3 linked regions of the Danio rerio genome follow. The protein of the gene in region 3 interacts with the protein of the main gene of each other region in a pairwise test. Links are inferred from orthologs where the notes say so. Each region holds a gene or a part of one and is shown on either strand. Other genes may lie near its edges.

Region 1 (6,295 bases), on a different chromosome or scaffold from region 3:
ATTACAGTTTCCTAAAAATAAACAGTAATGTTTATAGACCATTTTGAGGGATGAGCTTCCGAGGATCCAAAAAGGTCCACATATATTGATAAATAATGTTAGGATAGCTGTTTTTACATTTAGTTACGATTGAATTGCCTCTCATTACAGTTATGAGTTTGATAACAAGCAGGAAATGTTCATGAACCAATGACATCACCTCATTGAAATGGTCTATAAGGAACAGAATATAAACTGAAACCAGACAATCACTTATGTATGTGTGTATTAAGGTAAAGTTGGTTTAATATTCTCACATTCAGAATTTCTTTCTCTCTCTCTCTCTCTCTCTCTCTCTCTCTCTCTCTCTCTCTCTCTCTCTCTCTCTCTCTCTCTCTCTCTCTCTCTCTCTCTCTCTCTCTCTCTCTATATATATATATATATATATATATATATATATATATATATATATATATATATATATATATATATATTAAGGGTGGAGCCGAACCCGAATACGGTATTCGGAAAGGCACGAATTGCGTGTTTTTACGAATACTTGATTCGAACAAATACTTGAAAAATTATTTGTATTCGGGAGCAAGAAAAACACTATCAAAAAGCAGCGTTTCCTCATGAGACCACAGTGCATGCCCGCGTGAGTGAGTGAGTGAGTGAGTGAGAGAGAGAGAGAAAGAGAGAGAGAGAGAGAGGCAAAACGCGCCAAAGCCCGAAACTGAAAGCGAGACGTGACTTTTAAGGGGTTGTTTCATATGGATTTATTAATCATTTTTACTGTTCAGTGATCGCAAACTGCCGTAGTTTATTAAAGACGCAAACTCCTCACTGCACGTCAGCTGCGCGCCTTCAGCAGACCTCCTCATTCCTGCAGCACGAGAGCTTTATGATTGTTTATGAGCGCCAAAAGTGGCGGATCTGTTCGGTGATATATCTGACTGTGTGTCACCGCATCCCTAAGGACTGTTTGGCGAAATATTTGACTGCATGTCACTGCATAACAAACGACTGAAAGGATATAACTAGAGAACTCTCCACTGTGCGACTGGATGTGAGCGTATGGCAAGCCGTTTTAGCATTTAAACCTTGTTCAGACTATCCATAAATATATTTAGAGATATCTCTAATTATATTTTGACTTGTCATAATTATAATTCGACTAGTCAGATTGGAAATATCTGCAAATATATTATGATAGACTAGTCATATTCCTCCATTGACTTCCATTGAAAAATATTTGCAGATATCTCTAAATAAGTTGACTAGTCACAATTGTAATTAGAGATATCTCCAAATGAATTTTGACTAGTCAAAAATCCAATTCAAGATATCTACAACTGTAATTAGACTTTTAGTAAATTAATTAGAGATATCTTCAAATATATTTGTAAATATCTCTAAATATGATGAATTAAAGATATCTCTAAATGTATTATGACTAGTAAAAACTCAGAGATATCAATTACAGTTGTTACTAGTCAAAATTCATCTGATTACGTATTAGTACAATTGTAATTGCAGATATGTCTAATTGTCATTCTGAGTAGTGGAATTATAATTATGACTAGTCAAAATATAATTAGAGATATCTCTAATATATTTATGGAGCCAGAACAAAGATTTAAATGCTAAAAAGGCTTGCCATAGAGAGCGCTTCTCACTAAACAGAGCACCGCGCAACCTTCTATGTAATGTATTATCACATGCACTAAAAGCATCCTAAAAGCATCAACACAGCCACATTCTGCCCCAGCAAGTCAGTTTCAAACATAAAAAAACAAACAAACAAACTTTGTGTCTTTTTGTGGCAGGCAGATGACAATAGCAGGGCTGTATCTTTTAGTATTATATAGAATACTTTTGTTCTGCCAGATCTCCCAGGCAGGGTTTTATTTAGATTTATTTAGTTAATATTAGTTTTTGGAATTCTGTCCATTGGAAAGAAGTTCTTTCAGAAGAAGAACAGTTTTTTGAAGTATTATTTGTTTTTATTCTGTCTATTCAGTGTCCTTCAACAAGAACGGTGGTGGTGGGGTTCATAATATTCACAATGGTATTTTATTAGTTGTTGGTTTAACCATGGATGAGATAATGGCTTCTATGTTATTTTCTTTTCAATGACATTTCTTATCACATGTTCAAAAACAACAGCCAATATTGCATATCTATAATTTATATAATGGGTATAATTAAACAATACTTTCACTATAACGTAAATTAGAAGTGTAATAGAAAAAATATATATTTTTGCGCCATTTTGAATTTCACTCGAATACAAATACAAATACAAATACTTTTCCCCCCTCAACAAATACAAATACAAATACAAATACCGGCTGCTCCGCACATCCCTAATATATATATATATATATATATATATATATATATATATATATATATATATATATATATATATGAGCAATTCCAGCATTATGGATGTGACATTTGCAGTAAAAACTCAACACATAAATTGACAGAGGAAGTATATGTTAACATTATATTGAAAAATTTGATTATATTTTCTAGAGCAACTAGCCACAGAGTTATGGGAGCAGAAAAATATCAATCTGTAAACATGTTTTGTACTTTAAATGTGGAAAATAAGCATGCGTTATGGGTGTGACAAAAAAAGTCTGCGAGTTTACAGTATACAACACACTTTGTAGAAATTATGTGAATTAAACTGCACAACCCAAAAGAAATAATGCTAATCAAAAGGATTTGAGTCGGCTCTCTATAAAACAAAAATGATTGGTTTTATTTTATTTAATATTTTCACATTTCTGAGGAAAAAGTGTTGTTATGCATGTGACATCTCTCTGTTATGGATGTGACGCATGTGAAATTACCATTTGTGTGACTTTGGTAAATCAAATAGTAATAGTTTGAAAACATTAACAGATGCTTTTTGAGTATTTTTAAAGTACAGTAAAATACTTGCCTACACAAAAAACCCAGAAATGGTTTCCGTATTTTGGTAAAAACTTAATTTTTTTTCATGGCAAGGTTGACATTTGCACAGAATTGCTCATATATATATATATATATATATATATATATATATATATATATATATATATATATATATATAATTTTGGAAAAGTATTTCTGCAAATTATAAATGGTAATATCATATTAGCAGCCAATGGCTATCGAAGTACAGCATTGTTTACAGTCAATAAATAGTGCTAATGTTGTTTTAAATTCATAATTTTAGGTAGAATATTCAAATTACCATGGTAAACAGGAATTATGTTAAAAATATATATGGAAATATAGGGTGCATGTAACAAATTGACACTGAATGAATGTCAGAAATAAAACCAACTTTACCTCAATTGTGTGTTGTGTATATAAACATACACATAATAAATAAAATAATGTACATAATAGATAAATAAAGGTACATATTTGTTTATTTTACTTGTGTTTAAAATGAAGATGAATCTAAATCTACTGTTAAACAGTGCACTAAATCAAAGCAAATACTGTATATAAACGTGTGTTCCACATACACATATAAACAATTCCACACATTAATATTACTGTAACACATTAAATAAATGTATCGTTATTAAACTAAAGACATACACACCACACGTTAATCTTTATATAATGTTAATAAACCCGTGAGTCTTGTTGAATGTATCTGCTTTATGTTTGTAATAGCTGAAGTTAAATGTTTAATGGAGAATATTAGCCGTTAGCCGCTAACTTACTGTTCAAACTGATTCATTCCGCGTTGTCGTTCCTGCTTCTTCTTTCAACGTAAACCTCGATATATAAATACGCTTTATAACTTTTGGAATAATTACTGTTATGTTAAACTATTAGATGTTAGTGTGTTTAATTCAACGGGCAGAGAATAAACTATACTACATGCTACACTGAAGCCAACCACGGTCACTGCGCATGTGCGGACGGCAATCGAGAAACGACAAAAAGCACAAACCGCGGAAGACTCGCTTAAAGAGTACACAAACATGTTGATTAAACACAACAAAACGTTGAAATAATCAACGGCAAACAAAACATTATGATAACAGCGTGGTCGAAGCATACAAATCTTTAAAAACAAATCAATTAAATCCGTCCGATTTGCTGGTTTGAGCTAAAATATACAAAATGCTAAGTCTTGTTTACAGTAACTCAGTGCTCAGACAAAAAAAGCCTTATAGCAGGCCGTAGCCAGTCTTGTGAAAGGGTGGTTCTTTTTTTTTTCTAAAAAATGTGGACTTTTGTTGCAGTCATTCACCTCATTTTCTATTTAAATACTTCAATAAGAGGCATTTTAAGCACTATTTTAGTTGGATTAGCTTGTTCATCTAACAACAACCTATTAGTATACACAGCAAGAGTCAGTCTAAAGGCACTCGAAAAATGTGGGGAAAATAATAAAGCCTTTACTCACATGACTATTTCCTAAAACTGCACCTACACGTTTTGATAACCCTTTACTTCATCAGGGTAACCTGATCACAGTTTTAAGTCACAGCCATGTCAATAAAGGCCTGTTACTATTTTTTCCACATTTTTAAGTGCCTTGGACTGATTTTGATGTTTATTCTGATGAATCCCTTACACAAAGAGCACTGACACATTATTTAAGCTACCCCTGAAAACTTTTAGTTTGATTTTGGAGATTTACACAGCCTAGTTAGTGTTAAACTTAACTTTAATAGGCTACTTTTGGTGCTTCAGACCTTATATTAGTTATTTCTATCTCTCAAGAATAAGGTTAAGATTTTAAACAAAAGTCAGGCTACTTGTAAAATTTTTTTTTTTACAAAAGTCGGTCAATAGTAAAAGTTGACTTCACTTAAATATTGTGCATTTTCTTAAAACCTTCAATGATTTATTTACACAGTTTATCATGACATGTCAAAATAGGTCAAATGAGAATATAGTGGCAACTAGATGTAGACATAAATAACTTTATATAATTAAAACAATATCTACAAACTGCTTAACTAAAGACGAAACAGTATAAGTTAAACACTTACTATAGTAAAGTAATTAATCTGTTGTGGTGATTATGGTAACACAACAACTATAGTAATATAAACAATTGACCCAACCCACATAGCAAAATTTCTCTGGCCCAGCTCTGGCCCACACAATCAGGTTTTGCTTGGCCCACATGCCGCAGTGAATTACGGTACATGACTGGACCAAATCTGGCTTCCAGACAAGGGCCAAACACGGACCATATCTGGGCCAAGTCTCAGCCAAGTTAATAACTCATAACTGGGCCTGAACTGGGCCAGATAGGTTGGTGTGTCACGATTACGATGAAATTGATAAACCCATGGAGTGATGCGCTTTAGGCACACTATGGGCACGCTTTTTCTCAGTGACCTGATTGGTAGAATTTTTTTTCTTTACTCAAAAATGATTTTAGTGTATTTTAAATGTGGGTCAAGACTGGCCAAACTCACATGGCCCACTTATCACATTTTTAAATCTGGGCCAAATACTACGTTTTTCATCTGGCCCAAATCTTGTGTGCCGCCTTAAAGACGGTGCCACCTCTGCCAAACCCGGGCCATGTTTGGCCCACATGCTGTATGCAAGTGCCGGATGAAAGCCTGCTGTGCCAGCTTTATGCCAAATCTGGGCCAGAATTCTTTGCTACTAGGGAATACTGCAGTCTTCGATTAATCTGCCTGCATGATGTTTTCCCAGATGATCTTACATTGTAGGTTACCCTCCCACTTTGTCCATGCCCCCTGCTGACATCACAGGTCATGTGACACCGCAACACAACCGTCACTCATTTACCAGCCGTCATCTCTCTCATAACTTACACTTGCTGAATGATTATTATTATGAATGTACGGCTTAACAAATCATCTATTTAAAGGGGAGCTGCTATGCCTGATTCAACAAGATGTAAAATAAGTCTCTAATGAGTGAGTGTGTGAAGTTTCAACTGAAAATACTCCACAGATAATGTTTATAACTCTCTGAAACTGACCCTTTTAGTCTTTAATCTTAATAGTGTGGCGTTTTGGTGACTGTCGCTTTAAATTCAAATGAGATTGTGCTCTTTTCAGAAGAGGGCGGAGCTACAGATGCCTGTGTGCCAGCGTAGCAACAAATTCAAAAACAAAGTTGCGTCCCAAATCGCATACTTATGCACTATTCTACGCCATTTTGTAGTATAAATAGTGTAAGTAGTGTGTTCACACTGAAAATTCTAACAATAATAAGTGCACTTTAATTACCCGGATGATGCACTCATTCAGCCGCTAAAATGAAGTGTGTAATAATGGACACTTCACACACTCAACGACCG
Region 2 (6,333 bases), on a different chromosome or scaffold from region 3:
TGCTTCCAGAGTTTTCTATTGGCCAGTCAGAAATACTTCACCATTATCACCAGGATTCATTTTAAAGGTACAATTCACTCTTGAGGGGATGTAAATAGTGAGTAAATTAAAATTTTTGGGTAAACTATCCATTTATGGTAGATTGGAGTCTAATTTCTGTTAAATACTTACAATATACAATATTTGTTGTGGTAGGCTATGAGCTTTAATAACATATACATTTATAAACTTATAACAGACTTAAAAAAGAAAACATAAAACGCAACAGATGGTCTTTTTTATCATATGTTTTAATATTATCAATCATGTTATTTGAGTTGCTTCAATTGTGTCAAGTTAATACTTACGCCCAGAAGTCCTCCACGGTGTCAAACTTTGAGATGAGACGGAGATTAGCTTGCCATGTTTTGCTTTTGTCATTTTTAAAGAACCAAAGAGCCCATCTGAGGAAAAAAAAGGGGGGGGCACGATAACTCCTCTAGATATTTTGCCATCGTATCACATCAAAATACATAAAACATGTGGCCTGGGTGGCATTACCTGTTCTGCAGTGGATGTTTAATGTAATCTTCAAGACTCACGATCTGTTGCTCATTTTCCTCATTTTTTTCTTCTGAATTTGATGGATTTGTTGAAGTTTCCTACAGAAATAGAAAACAACAACTGTTATATTAACAAAATATGCATCTAAAGCTCTGCATACTGAATGAGAGACTTTTATGGGAAAATAATCCATATTTTGCCATTTTAAAAACTATTGTAAAAAGCAATATTTTAAGTCCCCATAACATTTTTTTTCATTTGTTGAATTACTGACAAACTGTTTCACATTCAATATTTTTACCAATATTTTTTACTATTTTCATGCCTGCCATGAGTGGAAATAAATACTATAATGAAATGTGAATGGAAATAAATTAGAAGACTCAGTTAGCTAATTAATTAACATGTTTTTATTTATTACTTATATAGTCTATGCCAGTGGTTCTCAAACTTTTTTCATCAAGTACCACCTCAGAAAAAATTGTCCCTCCAAGTACCACCATTTAACCAGTATTGAAATACAGTAGCGTAGTAGGCCTAATTAAGCAGCTACAGTTCTGCAGTTTAAAAAAAAAAAGTTTGAACATTAACACTGCTGTGCTTATGTGTAAAAAAACAAATAAATAAAATTTCAATGTTTAAATTAAAATGTAATTTTAAAAGTTAATTAAAAATGGTAGGCTACTGTTCTTAAAAAGTAAAGAAAAAACACCTGTACTTAAATGTAAAGTGTTCACCTGTAGTATAAAAGCCTGGAAATGCTGCTTGGACCTCATAAATATAGGCTATATGTCATCATATTCATATACGAGTCATTTTTTATAAATATTTAAATATCTGTTGCATGTAGATATGGCATATCGGATTACTCTGCGTACCACTAGAAGGCAGCCCGCGTACCACAGTTTGAGAACCACTGGTCTATGCAGTTTTTTGTTTTAAAATGAGAAAACGCTATTAAGAGAGCAATCAGATTTTTTTTTTTTTTTTTTTTGTATTGTTAATGACTTTCTAAACGGGTGACAAAAGCCCCCACGAGTGAGCAATGGCCCTAACAAAAAAAAAAAAAAAAATGAACAAAAAATACAAATAATGAAAATAATAAGAAAATTACTCTGGCTTTCCACTTTCAAAAGCATTCTCTTTCAGATGAAACATGTTATAATGGTATATGCATAAATATTAGAATTTATTAACAAAATCTAGTCCTAAATGAGTCGAAGAAATAAAAAAAGGACTTAAATTTTTTCAAAAGCTTTTTGGCACTAATGTAAATAACATTAAACATAAATAACTAGCATTTTCATATTGAAGCACTAGCAAAGTTTTGTCCTAGTACTAAAAACTAAGCCAGGTCAAACTCCCTGGAATGTATTATCAGGCTTAAAGTGAGCACTATTACTTACTAATACTTTTCCATTAGCTCTGCCTAATACACACTACATTACCAGACAAGGCATTGGCCGGTATATGATTCTGACGGTGTAATAACCTTGGATAAAAATATCATGGTTTCCAGGTATCACGGTATTTCGATTACTGCTTTAATTTTTTTTTCCTTTTTGAAAACAATATATTTTATTTTTTGAAAGATTTTTTACAAATCTGGAGCAGTAAACATGTCAAGATATATAATGAAAATGAATCATAGACATGAATCTTTGGATATCTTTCCAGCTTGAGAAACTGTTGTCTTCAAAAACAAACAAAAAGTAAATAAAAAATCTTACACGGTGCGGTATTACAGAAAATTTTGACAGTTTTAAAACCTTGACTTTTCCAAACCGTGGTATACCTTGAAAACGGTGATCGTCACCTGCCTAGATCACACTGTATACGCTACAAAATACTGAGGTAAAGTTGGATTTATATCCGCACATTCGTTCATTTAATACAGTCCTTGACTACTAATATAAAGTCCCCATTTAGAATTGGCAAATAATACTTTTCTGAAATTATATTAAGAAAATCCAAATATGCTAATATAAAAAACTTTTTTACCTCAATTACAAAAATATATAAAATAATCTAATTAAATAAACAGACTTATGGCACCATTTTAGTTTCAGAAACTCTGAATAACCTCAAAACAGCATTTCAACAAAATCTTGAGGGTGAATAAATAAAATGGGTATAAATACTTAAAAAAATAACAAGTAAATTTCTTTATGGGTGCTACTAGATGAATAATTTAACCTAATATGTTTTGTTCAAAAGGTTATTTAGTTAAAAAGTTCTCAAAAGCTGCTTATATACCCTAATGAAAGAAAACTGATAGAGGTTAAGTTGGTTTAAATTCACACATTTATTCATTTAGCAGTGTCTATATTGGTTACCATATTACATTGAATATTCAATCGGAATTAGCATGCACGTATGACTTCTAAACAACATTAACACTATTTAATTCACTGTGAACAATGTTGTGCTTTGATAGTTTAACTGCTGATTTCCCTATTTAGAATTTGCAAATAATACGTTTCTGAAATTATATAAAGAAAGTCCAAATATGTAAATATAAAAACAGTTTTACCTTAATTACAAAAATATATCAAATAGTCTAATTAAATAAACAGACTTATGACACCATTTTAGTTCCAGAAACTGAATAACTTCAAAACAACATTTCAACAAAATCCTGATGGTGAATAAAAAAATTGGTATAAATACTTAAAACAATAACAAGTAAATTTCTTTATGGGTGCTAGATGAATCATTTAACCTTATAAGTTCTGTTCAAAAAGTTATTTAGTTAAAAAAGTTCTCAAAAGCTGCTTATATACCCTAATGAAAGAAAACTGCCCATATTTGAAACAGAGTTTCTCCAGAGGAAGAATGAACATTAAGTTTCAACCTTCTCATTGTTATTACACTAAAACATGAATCTTTCTAAACACATAATATTAACTCACAAACTAAAGGTTATATTACAAAAATCTTTAAAAGTATACAAAGTTAACCTTTAACAATATCGCAATATGTAACGTTACTTATATTAAGTTTCATTTACTGTCCATACAGAGGCTAAAAACAAACCACATACTTTTCATTGACACATCAGCAAACTACGAGTCTAAATAACAGAGATGCTTCAACACCACGTTCAACTCTCTGAAAAAACAAGCAGCCCACAGCCCTCCATTTCAGAGAAAACATCAACTATTTCACACTTTTGAACAGTCTCCTTCAAACGCATGTGTGCGACAGTCGGGCATCAGCTCATTTGACTGTATGATGGAATATAAATCTGTCTCTACTTGAATATTTATTCAAATTAGCTTATACACAAGCCCTGGTCGACATAAAACTCGTATTACAGATTAAACCCCGCCGTTAAAGTATGTGCAGTAGTGTTTGTGAGAGCAGTTACACTAACTCACCGGTTCAGCAGTCGCCATCTTCTACAAATGTGAAGGGTCTTTCCGTGTGTGAAAACAACATTTGATTGGCTAAACTCAGGCGAACTCGTGTGCGAGCAGCGCGCGCCCGGACAGCGACACCCAGAGGACGGCAGTCTGTTTATGACTGCCAAAAATGTCTATGGGAATTTAATAATAATGATAATAATAATAATAATTAAAAAACTTTATTTAAAAAAATATTATTTCGAGGTGCTTCACAGATATTTAATCAATGATACCAAAACTCTTTTACAAACTACTCTTTTTTTTATTATTATTCTTTTTAAAACTACTTTTATTAAATTATCATCTTGCTTCGGACACAAAAATACATTTGTAACGAATTGTAGAACATTGAATTGACCTGAAGCATTGCCCAAAAATTTAGAAGAATGTTATAAATGGAAAAAAATCATTTAAACACGTAATATGAGCTTTATTTAGATTTTGTAATTACAAAAACTTTTATTATTTGTCTCATTCATTCATTAATTTCCTTTTCGACTTAGTCACTAGATTAATCTGGGGTCGCCACAGCGGAATAAACTGCCAACTTATCCAGTATGTTTTATGCAGCGGATGTCCTTTCAGCTGCAACCCATCTCTGGGAAACTTCCAAATCACACTCATACACGATGGACAATTTAGCCTACACAATTCACCTGTACTGCATGTCTTTGGACTGTGGGTGAAACCGGAGCACCCGAAGGGAACCCACGCGAACGCAGGGAGAACATGCTTCTTTACACAGAAACAGAAACAGCGACATTTTTGTTGTGAGGCGACAATTTGTCTCACATTAAATGAAATAATTTACTTGGTTTAATGTTTTTAAGAGTCATATTGTCAACATTGGCATTATTTTACTGTATTATCTTTGAATGTTCAATATTAACTATAGCCTATTTTATTTGGCAAATATATACTTTTAGTCATTAATTTATTTTGTGGCAGATTCATATTACTTTTAGTTTTAAGAATCACTACAAATCATACATTTTGGTTTTCATTTGTTTAGGCAACTTGGACAATTTGATGTTAAGAATCAAAACTTTCACAAACATTGACAATCTTACTAAAATCAATTCATTACAACCAAATAATCAAACGTGGTTATAAGTATCATTGACAAACTAGTTGAACTGACTTTTCTAATAAACATTTTACATAATAAAACAGACAATAAATACGATCTTATTGTTCAAACCTTCAAAATAATTATATCAAGCCATTTACACTGCAAAGGTTTATTGTGAAAAAAATTAACTAAAATCACAAAATAAATTTGTAACAATTGTAGAACATCAAATTGACCTGAATTAATGCCAGAAAAAAAAAAAAAATGTGAAGCTTAATTTTTGAGGAAAAATAAATTTAAAAATCTCAATTTGACATTTATTTAGCTTTGTTTTCCATACCAAAATCTTTTTTTGAATCTTTTCTAAAGAAGGGGGGAGAATGGGTTAATACTTTTCTTTATGTGTTTAAATGTTCATGTTTATATCTTTATATCTTGATCTATTTTAGTTAACATTGATTAATTGTGACTGTTTGGGGTTTAATGGTTTTTAAATACTAAACTGGAGAACATGTACTGATGTTTATACTTACCTTTCAATTAGGGTATGTTGGTCTGTGTTAAGGGGGTGGGGCTTCACCTTTAAAAGGCAGCCTCAAACAACAATTCGGGGTCAGTTCACCTGGCGAGCGAGCGAGCTACTGTGGTGCCGTAAGCGATCTGTGACTTGTATATTTTTATTGTGATTGTACATATATCATTTTGTTTGTTGTTTATTTGTTCTTTTATTTTTGTTTGTTTTGCTACTTTGCTGGGTTTTGGGTTTCACTCTCGTACACTGTAAATAAACCATCACTTTACACGTTATATCAGCGAGTTGTGCCATCATTTAGAGGTTTTCTCATTTTTTTATATCCTTTGAGAACCCACTACGAGCCTTCCTGGCTCGTAAACCTCACATTTGGTGTCAGAAGTGAGATGGCAACTCGCAAGACGTCTACGAGAGGCAGGAAGCCTAAAGCGGGGCTTCGTTCACAGACTGGAGCCCTTAGCAAGGAGGATGGGGCATGGGTTGCAGCTGAGTCTACGGAGACGGAGTTGGAGGAGGAACTTCCTCTCGTTCGACCCAAGTCCACATCACCGCAAGTCACAAAACCTGTTTCTTCTCCTGAAGCAAAGACTTCATCTACTGGAGGTGGGATGTATGCATTAATGAGGGACTTTCTTGACTCACAAGCAGAGCGGGAGCAGCGTTACCTAACGGAGCTACAGAGCTTTAAAGAGTCAATTCTGCAAGCGGTCCGGCCAGCTGAGGGGTCGAGTGAAACAGAGAGTCCACGATTGGGGTTGCCAACGCCAACAGCACAACGA
Region 3 (5,701 bases):
CATTTTCTCTGGGTGGGGGAAATTAAATGAATGCATATATTCCCTATCACTGCCTCTTGCGATTTAGCTAATTGTAACTTTTCAAATTGCGATTCAATTTTGATTAATTGCACAGGCCTACCTGGAACTGTTGTCCCTGGTGATAAATAAAATGCATGTTAGCAGCTTATGATAATTTGAGAGGTAAAAAAAAAAAAACATGATATCAGAACCAGAATAATGATCAACTTGTATAGATTACAAATACAAATTCTTTAAGCTTTATATAACTTAACCATTGCATAAGCACAATTACCCTTCAAGTATGAGTATAACTCCTTACCTAAGATAATAAATTAAGGATTTTGCATACATGCAGCGTTCAGAAGCAACTTTACAAAGAAAAAAAAAAACAAGTCTTGAATTGTAATTATCGGCCGATTCGGATCTCCAACCAATTGATTGGAGCATCCCTAATAGAAATATCACTAAATACTAAAAATATATTTTAATGTTCTACTGGTGAAAAAGTCCCCTTCATATTGAATGGCCTAAGGATGAATAAATAAACCGTATATTGTTTTTTTGGAGTGAATGGGGTATATGCACATAGACTTTACATTTATGTCAGCCTCTCTTTTTATGGTTTTATAACCAAATGGATGCATTTCAAATATAATCAGGTAAATAGATTAAAGCATTACAACATCGCTGCTGTAAAAAGAACCTCATGAAATTGAAAATAGTCACAAATTTTTCACCGGAAGTACATCATTGGCTGGAAAACACTAGCTGTGCATATAACCCATTATACCTTTAAAAGATGTTGTAGTTGTTTAAGATCTTTCCAAATAATGTTGCAGTACATTGATGCAGCAGTTAAACTAACACTACAGTATCTGACAGGTGCCTAGAGCGTCTGGTATTTGGGCTTCTCTTCAGTTTGACCAGCCACCACAGTCATGGAGAAGGACGAAAATGGTGAAAACTTGGTGGACCCAATTAAGGACTCCGTAATGACCTCTGCCTATAGGTATACCAAGGTGAGAACAGTCCTTTAAAGCAACAATCACATGAGGAGCAAATTTGCCCTCGTGTTTTGATGATCTAGTTCAACTTACTTTGATCAGCATTAACTTTCGTAACATTTTACAGTTTAAAATCTACTACGCAATTAAGGATGATGTAATCATGCATGGCTTTGAATTTGGCTTCAATTAAACCAAATTAGAAACCTATTTTCTTTAATGTCTTGTACATGCAAGTGAAAAAGGTGTGATACTGATAAATGCACTGTGGTGACTTGCTTTTCTGCAATCGTTATGTATTAGCTGTTGACAATACAAGTTTTCAAAAGCAAGATTAACCAGCCTAATTTTTTTGAGCCCTACATGCATCCTACAAAACTGTCAGTTTCATTGGCATTATGACTCTGTTACAAGGTTAAAAAAAAAAAATTTATTACAAGAGTACACTGTCATTACTTCAGACATCCTTGTCAATTCAAATGCAACCAGCACAATAAAGCCTGATTTATACTTCTGCGTCAAACACCGGCGTATGCTACGGCGCTGACGCATAGCCCTTCGCCGTGGCCATCGCCGTCACTGACGTGCACCTCTCAAAAAATGTAACTACACGTCGCAACGACGCGTAGCATAAGCTCTGTGATTGGTCGGCTTGGTAGCGCTGACGAGTCTGGGCGGGACCGAGAGGCGCGCGAATGGCGGGACGCCGCGCGAGCGATTGTTTACAAGTGTGGAGTCCCGTGAAGGAGCTCCGGATGGAAAGTTTTGTTTTGTGTTTACCTCATAGTTAAAGTTGTTGCACGTCCGCCGGTTCCTGCCTCAAAATGAGCGAGTTTGAGCCACTTGTACATCCCGGAAGTGTTCAGGAAATGCAAAAAAGTAGCGAAGAAACTTGACACAGAGGAACATTTACACCTCACTGCCAACTAGCGTTTCGGAAGTGTTAATGCAGACCGGCAGAGACAGCGCGCAGAAGTATAAATGCACAGCCACGCGCGTTGCCTGCGCCGTGGGTTACGCCGGTCACCTGACGCAGAAGTATAAATCAGGCTTAAGGGGACCTTGTGGAACCAGGCTCCCAGTATATAACAGATCGAAAGCCCCTTTGAATCGATTAGTTAGTTTTAATTGAAGTTCAGTTGTTTCAGGTTCCTTTTTTATAATTAACTTTATTTCTTTCTATTGTTTTAATTTATTTTAAATGCTGTTATTAGATTTTTTTTCATGACAGTGCTCAAGAAGCTCTGCTGCTTACAAACTATGGGTGGCCAACATATGTTCTTGTCTGAAAATCTGTAACATACTTCTAATTTAAAAAATCGTTTTGTCACCAACAATTTATAATAGGTGGGTTGGCATAAATTTAGTGAAAAATCATTTAGCAACTGTAACTGAGACCTTCCCTTTGCATCTAAAGTGTGAGCATACCGTAGCACTTTCCTTCTCCTTTCAGTGTACTTGACAATTTATAGAGCATGCAGTGGGGGACCTTATCTTCTGAAGGAAAGCAGAAATGATGTAGGCCTTCTCTCTGTGTGAGAATCCACAGGTTTAGAGAATCAAGGAGTCATCGGGCCTTGCTCCCACAGTTTAGTGGGATTGCTTTCATATTTTCACAAACCATATAGCCTTTAAATGAAGCATACTTAAGTTTGGGGCAAGCATCCATTTTAACAAATTCAGATGAATCTTGGTGCATACCAAGCAAGCTAGTGTGAAAGCACACTAAATGTTGCAGTTTTGAAATGTTTTGTTCAGTTTTTCTTAATCTGCTGTGTGTTTTTGCAGGAAGAGCTTATGGAAATCAAAGAATTGCCAATTTCAAATGAGAGGCCAGAATGTCTGTCAGAGAAATATGACAGGTAAACTTTATTTTATTTTCAATTGTTCTAACACCATGTGTGGAACCATCTTCTGGATACTGTTTGCAAAAAGGACATCAGTTGAAAGTTCGGCTACAATCGTCCTATACTGAAACTTGAATCTTTTCATTGGCTTTTTACACGTTTCACACAGCAAGGGCAAGCAGAGCGTGTACGCGTGTGCAGCTTGTATGGAGCGCAGAATCAGCTTGCAGGCATTTGCCTTTCACACCGACTGCATCTGCAGCGCACAGCTCATCGCCAGCTACTACACAGATCAATCTATCTCTGTCTATTCTATCTAGTTACCCATCTATAAACACACTTATAAAAATCATTTTCTTTTTAATATTTCATCTGCACCAAGGCCTGCGACAACTTTCTATGCTGTTTCCTTAACCTGCAACTTTTTATTTGACAAATTTATAGATATCCTGAAGAACTGTATGGTTGTGCTCTGAGGAGTGTCATTTATGTCTTATTAGGTGCACTCTATCAGAAGACTATCGCCTGTGACATGTCATTTTGTTTTTGATTGTCAGGATGTTGTAGGCTTAGTCATAATATGTATACAATGTAGTTATGATATTCATGCATCATCAAACTAGTCTGCAACTTACTAAGCAAAACTCGTACTAAATTGTTTTAAATTATGTTTTGTAGGTCGGGCCCAAATAAATAAGTGTTGCTGTTTAATCATTTAAGTTGATTGAACTTATTACATTTTTATGAATATATAAAATCATTGGATATTATTAATGCATTTATTGGGTAAAATTGCTACTTTCTACTTTCATTCATTGGTCATAATGCACTGTCACTTTAATTGCAGCGCGGCAAAAATAGACCCACCCGCTTGCACTGCTGCTCTAATCTTTTAAGATGGAGACAAAAAAAAAAAAACATGCTCTGCTCACGTTTGTGATGTGAAACGTGCTTTAGCCATTGACATCTTGGGTCTGATCTTTTTACATGGATTACTCCATGAGCTGGATTTGATTATTGATGACTTAATACAATCCAGGATCGTTGCAGAGACTTTAACTGATATCAAAATTCATTAATAAACTTGAATAGGCCTAGGCTACTATAATAAAGAAAATCTGTTTTAAATGTATAGCTAAATAAATTGCCTAATGCTTTTGACACATGAATGTGAAAAGCCTGCAGCCCACAAAAAAAGCCAAAGTTAAATATTAATCAGATGATGTCATTATGCTGCTGTGCCATCAGCCAGTCGTTGTATTGCTGATCATGATTTCAAGGATTGATACATGCAGTGATCTCAGATCAGTTTATGCAGATATTTTGATCTGAATCGCAAACTTGTTTGATCCAAATTAGCCAAAGATCAGATATCAAGATTAAAAGATTCAGGATCTGCCAAATCATCTTGGATCATTTAAGCAAGGTATGAAGAATGGACCCCTAGTGTTATCCTAATCTTACCAGTGGTTCTGGAGCACATAACAAACTGCTCCTCTCAATTAATTGAAAAGAATTCACTTACTGTAGTCATTTGTCTTTTGACTTTACTAAGTATTGTTAAAACGTGGCTTATATTTTGACATCTTAGAATGGCTTTTAAATTATCTGAGGCTTGTATATTATTTTATAATTTTATGCATTAACTGTACTGTCTCCTTCATAGCGATGGCGTCTGGGATCCTGAAAAATGGCATGCTTCACTATATCCCTCTTCAGAGTCCAGTTGTCCTACAGAAGGTTACAAGAAAGACTATGTAGACGATAGGGTGCCACTTAAACGAAGAATTGCAGGTAATTGAACAAATAGCTTCATCAAATCAAATAAGGTGCCATTAAAACCCGTTTGCTGGAGGATGTTTATCTTAAATGATCTTTCTCTTCCTCAGATCCCAGGGAACGTGTAAAAGATGATGATCTAGAGGTGGTTCTAAGTCCGCAACGTCGTAGTTTTGGTGGTGGCTGTCAAGTTGCACAAACCGCCCTCCCTCGCCGACCCACCAGCCCTCTGGAGAACAAAGAAAATGAGTCTCTCCGTTTGGGGGGAGCACGACGCATCGGCAGTGGCCGCATCATGGCATCACGCGTTTTTGAAAGGGATGCACGGGTTGACAAAGAGAGGGAGCGAGACCGAGAGCGTGACTTCAAGGATAAGCGATTTAGGGTATTGTGCTAGAAATTGATGCAGAGGTTCTTATCTATTTCCTGTAGTGTTTGCACAGTGACAATGTTGTTTGCCTTCTACAGAGAGATTTTGGAGACAAAAGAGTGTTCAGTGAGAGGAGAAGAAATGACTCGTATGCAGAAGAGGAGCCAGAGTGGTTCTCTGGTGGACCCACTAGTCAGTCTGAGACCATTGAGCTCATTGGCTTTGATGACAAAATCTTGGAGGATGACAAACGGAGGACCAAACGTTCCAAGAAGAGGCCAGAGTCCGTTAAAGAAGGCATGTGCTGTAGGAAACGGGTCTCAAACAAAAGTGCGATCATCGGTGGGCTTGTATTTATTCAATCTCTTTTTTTCTATAGTTGAATGCAATGGTGGACTTTCAGACGGCCCTGAAGTAGTTCGGGAGTCAGGAGCTGATCAAGAGGTTCCACATGCTGAGCTTCCTGAGCAAACCCCTGGAGATTTTGACTTCAATGAGTTCTTCAATCTTGAAAAGACCATGCCTGGTCTGGCTTCGGTAAGATATGGGGAGCACTGCATGTTTCTATGGGTGATTGGCACAGAATATCTGGGTTGTCTTTAAAGGGAGAAGCAGTACACAGCAAATCACACCTAAGGTTGAGAGACGTTTGAGGTTATTAGGTGCTTTCTGGGGACTTTTAATCACTCTTCTCAGTC

Evidence for each region.
Region 1: the proteins of eif4enif1 (region 3) and eif4e2rs1 interact in binary tests that used the Homo sapiens proteins (3 or more experiments, as listed by UniProt). The two-hybrid records come from large-scale screens. The link is inferred for Danio rerio from reciprocal best matches to the Homo sapiens genes EIF4ENIF1 and EIF4E2.
Region 2: the proteins of eif4enif1 (region 3) and eif4ea interact in binary tests that used the Homo sapiens proteins (3 or more experiments, as listed by UniProt). The link is inferred for Danio rerio from reciprocal best matches to the Homo sapiens genes EIF4ENIF1 and EIF4E.

The regions. Positions count from the first base shown.
Region 1 is NC_133198.1:48,178,267-48,184,561, reverse strand, and holds the start of eif4e2rs1 (eukaryotic translation initiation factor 4E family member 2 related sequence 1), read right to left. Parts: upstream 3,942-6,295; 5' UTR 3,734-3,941; coding exon 3,717-3,733; intron 1-3,716. UniProt on the Homo sapiens protein: Recognizes and binds the 7-methylguanosine-containing mRNA cap during an early step in the initiation. Acts as a repressor of translation initiation.
Region 2 is NC_133189.1:48,177,942-48,184,274, forward strand, and holds the start of eif4ea (eukaryotic translation initiation factor 4E-1A), read right to left. Parts: upstream 3,942-6,333; coding exon 3,924-3,941; intron 642-3,923; coding exon 541-641; intron 444-540; coding exon 348-443; intron 1-347. UniProt on the Homo sapiens protein: Acts in the cytoplasm to initiate and regulate protein synthesis and is required in the nucleus for export of a subset of mRNAs from the nucleus to the cytoplasm which promotes processes such as RNA capping, processing and splicing.
Region 3 is NC_133181.1:43,481,657-43,487,357, forward strand, and holds part of eif4enif1 (eukaryotic translation initiation factor 4E transporter), read left to right. Parts: intron 1-885; 5' UTR 886-941; coding exon 942-1,022; intron 1,023-2,795; coding exon 2,796-2,869; intron 2,870-4,520; coding exon 4,521-4,648; intron 4,649-4,743; coding exon 4,744-5,018; intron 5,019-5,101; coding exon 5,102-5,300; intron 5,301-5,382; coding exon 5,383-5,540; intron 5,541-5,701. UniProt on the Homo sapiens protein: EIF4E-binding protein that regulates translation and stability of mRNAs in processing bodies (P-bodies). Plays a key role in P-bodies to coordinate the storage of translationally inactive mRNAs in the cytoplasm and prevent their degradation.